Linked DNA regions of Canis lupus familiaris. The protein of the gene in region 3 binds, or shares a complex with, the protein of the main gene of each other region. Links are inferred from orthologs where the notes say so. Each region holds a gene or a part of one and is shown on either strand. Other genes may lie near its edges.

Evidence for each region.
Region 1: MED21 (region 3) and MED31 share a complex: the UniProt entries of both Homo sapiens proteins name them as parts of the mediator complex. The link is inferred for Canis lupus familiaris from reciprocal best matches to the Homo sapiens genes MED21 and MED31.
Region 2: MED21 (region 3) and MED8 share a complex: the UniProt entries of both Homo sapiens proteins name them as parts of the mediator complex. The link is inferred for Canis lupus familiaris from reciprocal best matches to the Homo sapiens genes MED21 and MED8.

The regions. Positions count from the first base shown.
Region 1 is NC_049226.1:30,892,092-30,896,190, reverse strand, and holds the start of MED31 (mediator of RNA polymerase II transcription subunit 31), read right to left. Parts: upstream 2,834-4,099; 5' UTR 2,706-2,833; coding exon 2,678-2,705; intron 1,980-2,677; coding exon 1,902-1,979; intron 1,615-1,901; coding exon 1,518-1,614; intron 1-1,517. UniProt on the Homo sapiens protein: Component of the Mediator complex, a coactivator involved in the regulated transcription of nearly all RNA polymerase II-dependent genes.
Region 2 is NC_049236.1:16,881,093-16,885,233, reverse strand, and holds the start of MED8 (mediator of RNA polymerase II transcription subunit 8), read right to left. Parts: upstream 2,834-4,141; 5' UTR 2,781-2,833; coding exon 2,775-2,780; intron 1,262-2,774; coding exon 1,143-1,261; intron 220-1,142; coding exon 75-219; intron 1-74. Other genes in the region: KICSTOR complex protein SZT2, read left to right, coding at 3,044-3,070. UniProt on the Homo sapiens protein: Component of the Mediator complex, a coactivator involved in the regulated transcription of nearly all RNA polymerase II-dependent genes.
Region 3 is NC_049248.1:25,930,724-25,934,831, reverse strand, and holds the start of MED21 (mediator of RNA polymerase II transcription subunit 21), read right to left. Parts: upstream 2,851-4,108; 5' UTR 2,832-2,850; coding exon 2,790-2,831; intron 1-2,789. UniProt on the Homo sapiens protein: Component of the Mediator complex, a coactivator involved in the regulated transcription of nearly all RNA polymerase II-dependent genes.

The sequences.
Region 1 (4,099 bases), on a different chromosome or scaffold from region 3:
GAAAAATGGGTTGAAGCTACACAGAGATCTATTATATCCCAAAATAAGGAAAAACTTTCCAGCACCCAGCTAATGGTGCAACTGTCCCTAAATGGAGAACAGGTGCTCACTGGACCCATGCAGAGTGTAGACGGCCAGCCCTGAACTAGACCTTGCCTGTGTCTCCAGGTCCAAATGGAGTCTCCAAGTCTACACATGCACACAACAGCTAATGAAAAAGCTTTTCTCCGGATTATTCAATGAATAAGTGGCTGTTCATAAAGGAGCAGTCAGGGTGTACAGGGTCCTGCAGGGAGAAGGATGTGGGTTTTGTGAATCAGTTGACACAAATCAAAAAAGTGACTTGGAAAAAAAATAAAAATACAAAAAATAAAAAGTGACTTGGATAAAGTACAAGTCTGAATCATTTTCCTATCAAACGTGTTTGTTTAAAAGAAAGACAAGAAAAAAAAAAAAAAAAAAAAAAAGAAAGACAAGAAGTTCAACTATTGCTTTCTGACTACCTAGTGAAGACAAAGAAGAGGGATGGGTTCAAGGTTGAAACAAGTGTGATGCTTGGCACAGAGGAGGCACAGCAGCTATAGACACACTGGTTTGGGTTTGTTTTTTGGACTTTTTGTTTAAAAATTAAAGGCGTGTGGCAACCCATCAGCAAGCAAGTCTATGGGTACCATTTTTCCAACTACATTTGCTCACTTTATGTCTGTCATTATTTGATAATTCTCACATTTCAAACTTTTCTTTATCATTGTATTTGTTAGGGTGATCTGTGATCAGACTCCATAAAACCTCAGATGACAGTGTTTTTTAACAATATTTTTAAATTAAGGTATGTACCTCTTTCTTGACTTAATGCTATAGTGTTAACAACCCTTATACGCACTAGAGAACCCAAAAACTTGGGTCACTTTATTGCAATATTCACCACATTGCAGTGGCCTGGAACCACATCAACAGTATCCAAGGAATGCCTATATTAAGAGTCAGGTAAGGTCACCTCCTCCAGAAAACCTTCCAAGTACCTGATGTTCTTTAATCTTCAGCCTCAGGTAATACCACTGCATCTACAGACTGTGGGTTCATTAGGGTCAGAAATTCAGTGAGATGGGGTGAGTGGTAGATAGATAAAGAGAGACCTGAGAAAAGAGAGAGGATTTTGTTTCACATGCAATGGGAAACCACTGGGAGGTTTTAAGCAAGAAAATACCACGTCATAATTTACATTTTTGAAAGATCAAGTTGGCTTCCCTGTGGAAAACTGTTTTGCTTGGTTTGGCTTGCGGGAGGGAGGACACAGAAGGAAGGTAAGAGCACAAGCAGGGAGAAGCAGGGGGGTGGACACCGCAATAATCCAAGCTGGAGAGGGGGTGGCTCTGTATTAAGGTGGAGGCAACTGAAAGAAGTGGAGAGATTCAAAATATACTTTTTTCCAATGGGAAATGAGAAAATCTGTCAAATATCAGTATTTTTAATGTAATAACTATACACATATTTAGGACTATAAAAATTAAACTTACTTTAGATACTTGGCATATTCTGGTTCTTTCCAGTAAAGCAAGTACTTAAGATAATTAACAAAAGCTTTGTCTTTGAAGTAACCTCTTTGGGCAAGAACTGAAAGGCATAAACAAACAAACAAAAAAATCTGTAGAGCAAACCAATCCTCGGACTACTGATTTGTGACCCCTCACATAAAGCATCTACTTATATAACTTCCCCACCACCAACACACACTAAATGCTGAACATAAGTCCCAATTTGTTCTCACACACACCAGTATAAGCGTAGCAGTTAATTCCACTGGATTGAGAACATATAAAAATAGGTATCATTAGGAACTGCAGTTCTTCTGCCAGAGATCACTAACAGCTACTCAAGTCAGTAAGAGCTCAAGGACTTACAGTTAAGATAATTGGGGTTGGCTAGGCACTGCACAAATTCCAGCTCCAACTGAAACCGAAGTCGATTCCCGGCATCATCTAGGAGGGAAGTGAGCAAAAATCATCCAAAGTAAAGGTGACTAAAAAATAAATAAAATAAATAAAAAACAAAATAAAGGTGACTATCTAAAGTGCTGGTTTGTAGAAAGAAAACAGCAGTGGAGTGTTCTGAGTATTGCTGAGAGTATCTCTGAAGGCATAAGGCAGGGATGACTGTCCTAAGCTGGATGTGGGAAGAGAGGGCCGTTTCCTCCCAAGTCTAGAGAGCAGGGCCCTGATTAATGAGACCAGTAACTCCTTAAGGAGAAGTCCGAGGAAGCGGGCGCCCCCTGGGCAGGATGTTCACCCTCTGGCAGCCACTCCCCAGGACCTCCAGGGTGACCAGTGGCGGAGGGCTGCAAGCTAAGCAAGAGGAGGGGGCGAGTGTGCTCCCGCTAGGGCCTGGCGGGGAGGGGGGACTGGTTCGGGGCGGCAGGATTTGGGAGGCCCGGGGGAGGGGGGTGTCAGAGCCCGGAGGCTGGGAGGGCCAGGACCTGGGATGGGTCGGGAGGCCGCGGGGTCGGGGCCCGGGAGGGGTTGAGGCTGAGGGGTGGTCGGCGTCTGCGCGGCAAGCGAGGAGGAGGTAGCCGCGGACAGGAGCCCCGCCGAAGTCACGCCACACAGGAGTCCCGGGGGAAGCTGGAGGAGGAGGCCAGCCGGCTGTAGCTGTGTTTGCCAGGGCTCCGGCCGCTACCTACCTGTCTCCATAGCGACGGCCGCGGCCATCGCCAGCAAAAGCGCCGAGACGTCACCAGCACGACGAGCAGCTTCCCGGAGGTCCCGGAAGCTGCGGCCCCACTTCCTGTCGCGGGGCAGTGTGGGATGCGGGGCGGGGCGGTCCTCTCGGGCCCCGCCCACCGGCCTCGCGCAGACTCGCAAGGGGCGAGGGGCGGAGCTGGGGCGCTCCGAGCGCGGGAGGGGTCCTGTCCCCGCCTCTCTGCTCGCCCAGTGACGTAGCCGCGGGGGTCCCGAGCGCCTCCGGGAGCGCCTACATCCCCTCGGTGGGGTCTCCCGCGGGGGCAGTCCTCAGCCGGGAGAACGCCCAGCGGCCGTTCCAACCCACAGGGACCCCCCCCTTGACCCGAGCGCAGGTGCGGCAGGTGCGGCAGGTGCGGCAGGTGCGGCAGGTGCGGCAGGTGCGGCAGGTGCGGCAGGTGCGGGGTCGGCACTGGGCCAGCCCCCTCCGCCGCGCGTCGGCCGGGTGGCCGCACCGTTGACCCCGGGAGCCCCCTTGCAGCAAGCCAGCACTGGAGGTCCGCAGGCCCGCGACGCTCCGCCAGCCTGATGGGCTGATGGATAGGGAGGCTGTTGTTCCAACCACCCTCACGATCCAGACTTCGGGGACAGGGAGCAAACCCAAACCGTGACCACTGGGAGGATCACACCGCGGCCGGAAACCGAGGGGCAAGAAACAGACCTCCATTAATTAACCAGTTGGCCTTTGTGTTTCAAACCAAGCAGGTATTTTGTTTATGCTAAGCCCTGTGCCCTGTACGGGCACCCCCAGTCACACACATTTCCATACAGGTCAGACTAGATAAAAGTCAACATCTACCATGAGGCGTGATCTCGGAAGGGAACCCGGCCCGGGTCTCGCAGAGGGCGGGGAGGGCAGTACTATTTATGGAGCCTCTCCTCTGTGGGCACTTGGACAAGGTAGGCAGGACCCAGGCTCTCAGGAGCTCACACTGGTGAAGGGGCACACGGCAAATGATGAAAAGACCATTTTCTATCGCAATGAGTAACTGAAGGAAACAGGTAATGGGAGGGGTTCCTCACTCAGAAGTGTCAGGGAAGGCCTTGGTTAGGGGACTTGGATCTGAGGCTTGTGTGGGTGGACAGTGAGCCGTGCAGGGGTCTGGGACAGCAACGCAAGGGCTGGACGGGAGCAATCTTGGAATGTTCTGGAACAGAAAGAAGACCAGCGTTGTTGGAGCTATGCGAGGGACAAGCGTGGTACAGGAGAGAGGACGTTAGCGAAAGAAGCAGCAGCAAGTTCACAAAGGGTCTTGGAAGCCATAGAAAGGGGCTTGGGTTTTATTCTAAGGTCAATGGGAAGACACCGCAGTGTTTTCAGCAGGGGAGTTGCGTGATGCAATCCCATTTTTAGAAATATCTTG
Region 2 (4,141 bases), on a different chromosome or scaffold from region 3:
CCAAGCAACAATTGTGCCCTAAGCCCTCATCTAAGAATTTAATTTCCCATGTTATGCCCTTCTTCTCTTCTTACCATGAGATCTTCATCACGGTCTGGAGACAGCACCAGGGGGATGATGACCTGGTTGCGGAACAGCGGTGTCTTTTCATGCTTCAAGACCTTGTTCAAAGTGTTCAACTGTCCAGAGAGCAAGGCGAAGCTGTCCAGGACAGACGGCCTGGTAGTGGTAAGAAGGTGTCACAATGTTCTCAGTAAAGTAGCCTCGAAGGGGTCTTTCAGACTAGGAATACCCAGGCTCACTCGAAAAAGACTCAGAGCACTACAGCTGGACTGGGCAGGAACCAGACTGGATCCCAGGGATTGTGGGGTTATGAAAACGGGACACGCTTTTAGTTTCTAACATGGATGGAGAAATAAGGCAGCTCATTATTTGAATGGGGTAAAAGACCAGTGGCAAAGTAAGAACCATGGCTATGCTTATCATTAAAAATTTATAAACTGAGCAAAAAGAGATCTTTCAGGCCTGAAAACAGGATCCACACTTCCAGAGTAGGTTGGACCTAAAAGACTCAGCAATATCTATCGTAAGAGACCCGAGATGAACGCTGTACTCTTACTATAGTGGGAGGACCCACTGACGGAGTACCTCCTCCCAAAGAAGTCAAGGGTGACAATCAAAAGCTAGAAAAAACTTGGGTTGGAAAACTGGGCATTTCTCTATTTCCGTGCCACAGTGGCCCTAAGACAAACTTCACTTGTTAAATGTTGGGAAACATAGATCTTTTCAAATTAAAAGATGTTTGCAGGACAGCACGGGTAGCTCGGTGGTTTAGCACCGCCTTCAGCCCAGGGCGTAATCCTGGAGACCCGAGATCGAGTTCCACGTCGGGCTCCCTGCAGGGAGCCTGCTTCTGCCTCTGCCTGTGTCTCTGCCTCTCTCTCATTCTGTGTCTCTCATGAATAAATAAATGAAATCTAAAAACAAAAAACAAAAAAACAAACTTGGAAATTTAAAAGAAAAAAAAATGTTTGCAAAGTGATAAATTGTGACATCCCTGGAGATGTCCTATCAATCAGGAGGCCTGCCCCCTCAACCCCCACCCCATGGAGCCCTCCTCAGCTTGCCCTGGCAACCCTTACCAGGTCAGCCGGTCATACTCGTTCTCCAACTTGTATATGAAACTCCCCAGTGAGTTCTTCAGATCAGCCACTTGACTCAGCAGTGCATCTAATGATGCCTCCAGCTGCTTCTCCTCCCTCTGCACCAATAGGAACAGGTTGGTTACCCAGATAGGTGTGGCTATGTCGTATACAGGGAAGGCTGAAAAGCCGGGATGACAGTATGCAAAACTAGTCAAGTAACCCAGGATCTCACTGGTGCAGGAAAGCCAGGCTGTTCTCTATCTTTGGTATTTGGGTTACAGACAGCATCAATTCTTAGACCTTTCAATCCATTTGCCTGACCTCAATTCCTCCTTTCCCTCATTGTCTGCTAATTCATGTCTGGCTTTCCTCTGTATTAGACACTCTCTCAGGGAAGCCCGCGTGGCTCAGCGGTTTAGTGCTGCCTTTGGCCCAGGGGCCGTGATCCTGGGGCCTCAGGATTGAGTCCCATGTCGGGCTCCCTGCATGGAGCCTGCTTCTCCCTCTGCCTGTGTCTCTCCCTCTCTGTGTCTGTCATGAATAAATAAATAAAATTAAAAAAAAAATAGAAACACTCTCACTGAGGCATTTTTTTCAGACATAATCCCTGGGCTTTATTAACTTTTGTGTGCCTCTGCAGTATTTTGTCTTTCTCTTGTCCTAGAACTTGCCTTGTGAGCCTGGAAGTTCTTGCCAGTCACATAATCTCCGGAAAACATACTCATGCTTGTGGAAACGAAGGAAACTAAGGTTTCCCTGAAACTTGTACCCCACGGCCCCTCCCCCACTCCTCATCTGCGTCAGCATTTGAAGTTTTCAAGCTTCTTCTTGCTGGATTAGTCGGCATTCGCTTTATCTCTGTGCCCTTCGCTTTATCTCTGTGCCCGTATTCCTGCGTCCCTTCCACAAGCTCACTCAGCCTGAAGACATTTACTGACAGCCAACCAGGTGCAAGAAAGTAAGTGGCAAGTGAAAAACAAAGACAAAACGCACATGCTCCTAGGCGCCAGAGACACAATTTTAAAATGCTGGGGTGTCTGCAGTTTCCTCCCGTCTGTGGTCTCCAGTTTTACTCCATTTCTTCATCCTCAACAACTAACAGGCTCAGGCTGGGAGAAATGATGCAGAGCTGTCTTGCAAACTCACCAAGGGGCATGAGGAGGGCCTGGATCCGGGGCTCCACTCACAGAGCCTCAGATTTTAAGTAGCTCGGCTCTGGGCCTCCCTCCCCTTCCCCCAATCCCTCGGGCTCCTCTGCAATTCCATCCAGATCCCTCACGTCTACATCCAACAGCTTGGGCAGGGGCCGGAGCCAACTTGCATTTTCTTGAGCTGCCTTCCTTGCATTGCATATCAACCGTCCCAGTTACCGTAGCCTGATCCCTCCGTGCACGCCAGCTAGTCCACGCAGCCTCCTTCCCCACGACAAGGCCCCAACCTCCCATCTCTTGCCAGGTGGGCCCCACCCCCACCGCTCCAGTCGTCCGCGCCCCCGCGGGCCCTTACCCGTCAGCTACGCGCTCTGCCCCTCCAGTCGGCCCCGACTCCTCACTCTCTCCTCGGCCAGCCCATTCTCAGTCCTGTCACCTGAAGCTAGCTAGCGGTTAACAGCCCCAAGCCCGCTCTCACCTGCATGGCGATGGCGGCGATGGCGGCTATAGCGGCGGCGGCGATGGCGAAGGCGGCGATGGCGGCGGCGGCGGCGGCGGCGGCGGCGGCTTCCGCTTCCGGTTTCCTAGTCGGCGATCCACTCTAGAGGCCTCGTCCCCCAATCAGAAAACTCAGGGAGAGCGCGGCCCGCCCACTCACTTCCGGTTCCGGCGGGTCTCCGGGAGCCGGGTCAAGGGTCAAGAGTGGAGCATCTTCTCTGGCCCGGGCCGGCGCGGGAGGGCTGTGTGATGGCCTCGGAGCGCCCGGAGCCGGAGGTGAGGGGCGGGCGGGCGCAACGCAGGGCGCTGGACCCCGGGCCCCGAGGAGGAGGCCTCCTCCCGGTTTGGGGGCGGCCGGGCCGCGTAGCCTGCGCAGGGACCGGCCCGGCCCCAAAGGCCCGACCACTGACTGAGCCTCCTCCCCGCGGCCCGCAGTGTCGTCGTGGGGGCGGCTAGAGCAGAAACCCGTCGCTTTGTTTTGTTTATTGAAATTTCAGACACGTCCCCGGCTCCAGGGCTCTCGGATTCTTCGGTCTTTAATATCGATGTTAACAAAACCTGAGGTTTGATTTTTCTACCGCAGTTTCCGTGGGCAACATGGCACTAGTACGTTGATGGTTTTTGCATTTCTGCAGGCATTGGAATGCCGTGAACAGCGTGAGTTAACTTAGTTGTAGCGCTTATGCACTTAGGGAGCAGCTTTGGTTTCGTGGGAAAAAAAAGAAAAGAAAAAACATTTGGCTCAGAGTGAAGTTTCGTCCCAGTATTGGTGTCGCCATTTAGCTGTCTGTGCAACTTTGGGCAAGTCTTGACTATCCCGATCCTGTTTCCTTCTTCATTAAGATACCTGCCTTACGGTGTGTTGTGAGGACCTTCTGCATTAAACCAGAAAATGCATATGAGCACCCATTAGGTGCTAATGAAAGGAACTTGTACGTACATGATGTTACTCAAACTTGTGCCAGGGAGGTGGCAATATCCATTTCTCATTTGCAGATAAGGAAACCCAAAAGTGAAGGTTAAGTACCTTACCCAAGTGCTGCTGAGCTGGGGAGTAGCAGAGTTTTGAAATTAGAAGATCTGAGCATAAAATCAGATTTGGAAAGAACATCACTAAAGGAAGTGCCCAGTATTCTAAGAGAATATATGAGTAGGTGGGAAGGGTGAAGGATGTGTATAGTGACATAAATAGTAGTTATTACTTAGTGAATGCTTACTGCATGCCAGGCACCATTCTCGACACTGCAAATATCAGTTAGTGCTCTCATCCCTAGATGCTTTTTATCATCTCCATCTTTCATTTGGGGGAAATTGAGGCACAGAGCTCACCAAGCAACATAGTAACAC
Region 3 (4,108 bases):
CAGGCCCTGTGTAGGGCTCCACTCTCAGCAAGGAGTCTGCTCAATATTCTCTCCCTCCCCCTTTGCCCCTCCCACTTGTATTCTCTCTCTCTCAAATAAATCTTTATTTTTTTTTAAAGATTTTATTTATTCATGAGAATACACAGAGAAGAGAGAGACAGAGAGAGGCAGAGACACAGGCAGAGGGAGAAGCAGGCTCCATGCAGGGAGCCCAATGCAGGACTCGATCCCGGAACTCCAGGATCACGCCCTGGGCTGAAGGCGGCACTAAACCGCTGAGCCATCTGGGCTGCCCTCAAATAAATCTTTAAAAAAAAATTTTTTTTTTAAATTTGAGCTCACCCCAACATGGCCTTTAAGATTAATCTCCAACCCTTCAGGCTATTTCAAAGCTTTCGATAATCTAAGTCAACTCTACTTCTTCATTTTCTACTAATTCCTTCATATATACCTAACTAGTGATAAATTCATTCCAGACTATACTGTGTTGCTCATGTTTTGCTACTTGTAATGGCACAGTATTAAGTGCTTAGAAGCTGTACAGATGTGGATTCCAATTCTGGTTCTAGTAACCTGAGTACAGTTTTTAATTTTTAAACTGGGAACATTTTCACATTACACCACTGTTCTGAGGAATAAAGAAAACACACAAGCATAAATATTCAACACAGTGGCTATCTGTTGTGTTCTTCAAAAGCTCTCTCAAGATCCATTTATTCAATAAATATTAAAAAAATCAACTCTATGACAAGCATTGTAATAAACATTATAATGAAACAATGAACAAAGGCACAGCTTCTGCCCTCATGGAGTTCTCAGGGGGTAAAACAAATAACTTTAATAATTTTACAAATAATTACAATTCAGATCAATGCTTAGAAGATTTCCTTTACTCAGTTCATATCACTCTCTATTCCAATTTACCTCAGCACTTACATTTGAAGGCGCTTGATTCATTATAAACACCTAACCAAATCCTACTTTTAAATTATTTAAATGTCTTGAGTATATGACATCATTCCAATTAGACTGTAAACTCCCCAAGGAGTATTTTTCTGTAAACATGAGAGTGCTTACATACACATTAGGCATTCACACTAGTTAACCTAGAGATTTCTCTCCAAAATCCAATTATCAGCATGCTTACCCTGGAGTCAAGGCCATATTCACTGTCTCCTATTATCTCTCTGGTTACAAGACATGTATGAATATGCAACATTTCTCCTAAAATAACATTTCTGCCCAGCAGCATCGTTACAATTTGATTCTGAAGAGCCTCAAAGTAATATCTCCCAGAAGGAAGTTGGCTGGCAGCCCACGCATGTCACCATAAAGTAGAATTTATCTTAGTGACTTCATCAACCTTTAGGGGCTAGCCCTCTCAGTCCTAAAAGGTCTTATTTTATTTACGGAGTAAGTCAGTTTTATTTTATTTTTTTTAAGACTATTTATTGAGAGACGGGGGGGGGGGGGGGGGGGGGGGGAGAGGGAGAGAGGCACAGACACAAGCCCACTCCATGCAGGGAGCCTGAGGTGGGACTCGATCCTGAGTCTCCAGATCACACCCCGGGCTGAAGGTGGCGCTAAACCGCTAAGCCACCCGGGGCCGCCCGGAGTAAATCAGTTTTTCACAAGTCGATTCCCCCCTCATTTGAAGTGAACAAAGATGGATGCAACAAGAATCCTAACTTCTTATCTTCCGGTGTGAAAAAAACTGGCAAGGGAACAGATACTTCGATTTTCCAGTCAACATATTCTCTCTCTAAAGACATTTGACCTGGGATATCAAATTATAAACAGATTGGCAGGCCCGGGTGGCTCAGCGGTTTAGCGCCGCCTTCGGCCCAGGGTGTGATCCTGGAGACCCCAGATCGAGTCCCGCGTCGGGCTCCCTTGCATGGATTGTACTTCTCTTTCTCATGAATAAATAAAACCTTAAAAAAAAAAAAAAACAGATTGACAATGAGAAATATAACTAATGGCAAACTGTTGAACTCTTTATGGTCATGAGCACATGAATCCTCTGGTTCGCATGTACTTTCCAGTCAGGCATAACAGGAAAAAAATAATAAGGATCAAAGTAAGGGGGTCGGCTTACAAGATCTGACCCTTAACAGAAAGTAGACTTTTTGCGACACATTAAAGACTTAAATAAATGGGAACATACGCAAGGATTAGAAGATTCACTCTCCTAAAGATGTCAGTTTTCCCCAAACTGATTGATGCCAGGGAGCGCCAAGAGATGGGAACGAGACCCTTTGTCTCTGGGAACCAACGAAGAGGAAACAGAATTTCTCACCTCACCATCACTCCAGGCTCAACCTGCAAAGTCCTGACGCAGGAATACTCTCGGCTGACATTTAACAAAAAAATATCCAATCGTCAGGAGCACAGTTTCTCCTTCGCGGCTTAACACTGATAAGGGAAACAAGGAGCTTCTGCCGCTTTCCCCCTTACCCCCGAAAGAGAAGTGAGCCCAGAAGTACGACTGGCAGTAAAATAAAACTGTTCCCAGAGAACAGGACAGGACCGTGACGCCTAAGTGTCCTGACAGAGAGACCCCCTACTTTTCCGGTGAAAGAGGCTGCTGCTCCCTCAGCTCTCCGCGAAGCCGGCAGCCGGCCTCAAACCTCCCAGGACGCCGCGCCGCCTCCCGCCGCCGCCAGCGCTTTCTGCGGAAGCCCTGCCCCAGTCCGCTCCCCACTTTCGTGTGTTTTTCCCGGGGCCCTTTGCCCTCGTTTTACCTTAAGAAAGGGGAAGACAGAGACCAACAGAGCAAAATCGCTCACCGAGTTCACCGCGTCCTGCAGCTGTGTGAGCCGGTCCGCCATGTTCCTCCTGCAAGCTCCGGAGGCTAAAGCAGCTGCTCGCTCGCTATTGGGCGGCTTCAGGAAGCGTCGTAGCCAATCACAGGCCAGCGTTCTCGGAGGGGGTGGAGTCAGCGGCCCTCCGCGCCCGGCGAGTAGAGCGCGGGTGGGACTTTTGCGAGGCTGTGTTTCGGGCAGCTCCGCCCGCGAAGGCGCCTCGCGGAGGTTATTTTGAGTGACTTTGGGGTGGGGGTTCCGAGTTCCTTCGTTTTGGGTCCAGCAGACTCGTTCTCGAGGTTTTCGGGTGGTAGACAATTTTACGGAGATGGTTAGATGCTGCAGTTTTTAGAAGTGATTTTCCCCATCTTCCCGTGTATATTCGTTTTTAAACATTGCCTTGAATACTTACGTTACTTTGGATTTCCAGGTGGATCACCAAATATATACACAGCAACCAACTCAGGAATACTTGGGGGTCGCGATCCCGATTTTAACTTCAACAAATCCAAATTAAAATTCACCAGGCAATCTTGGCTGTGTTAGGGTGTCTCCTCTGGGGGGGTGGGGGTGGAGGGGGTGATGGGCCACCCAGGTGAAGACTGGGTGCGTGCTTTAATTCTGAATGTGGGTGTGCTGGGGAAGCTGACACACATGGGATGGAAAGCGTCCAAAACAACTAAGCACTAAATCGAGCTGTATTGACCGCGTAAGAAGAAAATGGTTGGGGGCAGCCTGGGTGGCTCAGTGGCTTAGCGCCGCCTTCAGCCCGGGGCGTGATCTTGGAGACCCGGGATCGAGTCCTACGTCGGGCTTGCTGCGTGGAGCCTGCTTCTTCCCTCTACCTGTGTCTCTGCCTCTCTCTAATAAATAAATAAAATCTTAAAAAAAAAAAAAAGTTGGAAAAGGAAGGTTTCTATAGGCAAAGTGAGTAGCAGAAGAGTGGCATCTGGAGTTCAGAGGTAAGGTGTGAGTGCAGTTAACTAATAAAAATCTCGCTCCTCTGACAGCGAGGAACTCAGTAGAAAGAACAGAAGAAGGTTGGTGGAGAGGAGAGTGGAGGAGGTTCCTGGAAAATGAGCCTTATGTGTAGGTAAGGGCAGGGACAATTTTTAAACAGATAAGGTGTGCAATTTATACTTAGCCGTGAGACCTATTGAGGATTTAGTGTGAAGGAAGATAATAGGAACTTGGTATCTGGAGCACCTGGCTGGTTCAGTGAGTGGAGCATGTGCACTTGATCTCCCGGTCCTATGTTCCACGTAGCCCCAGGTTGGATGTGTAGAGACTACTTAAAAAAATAA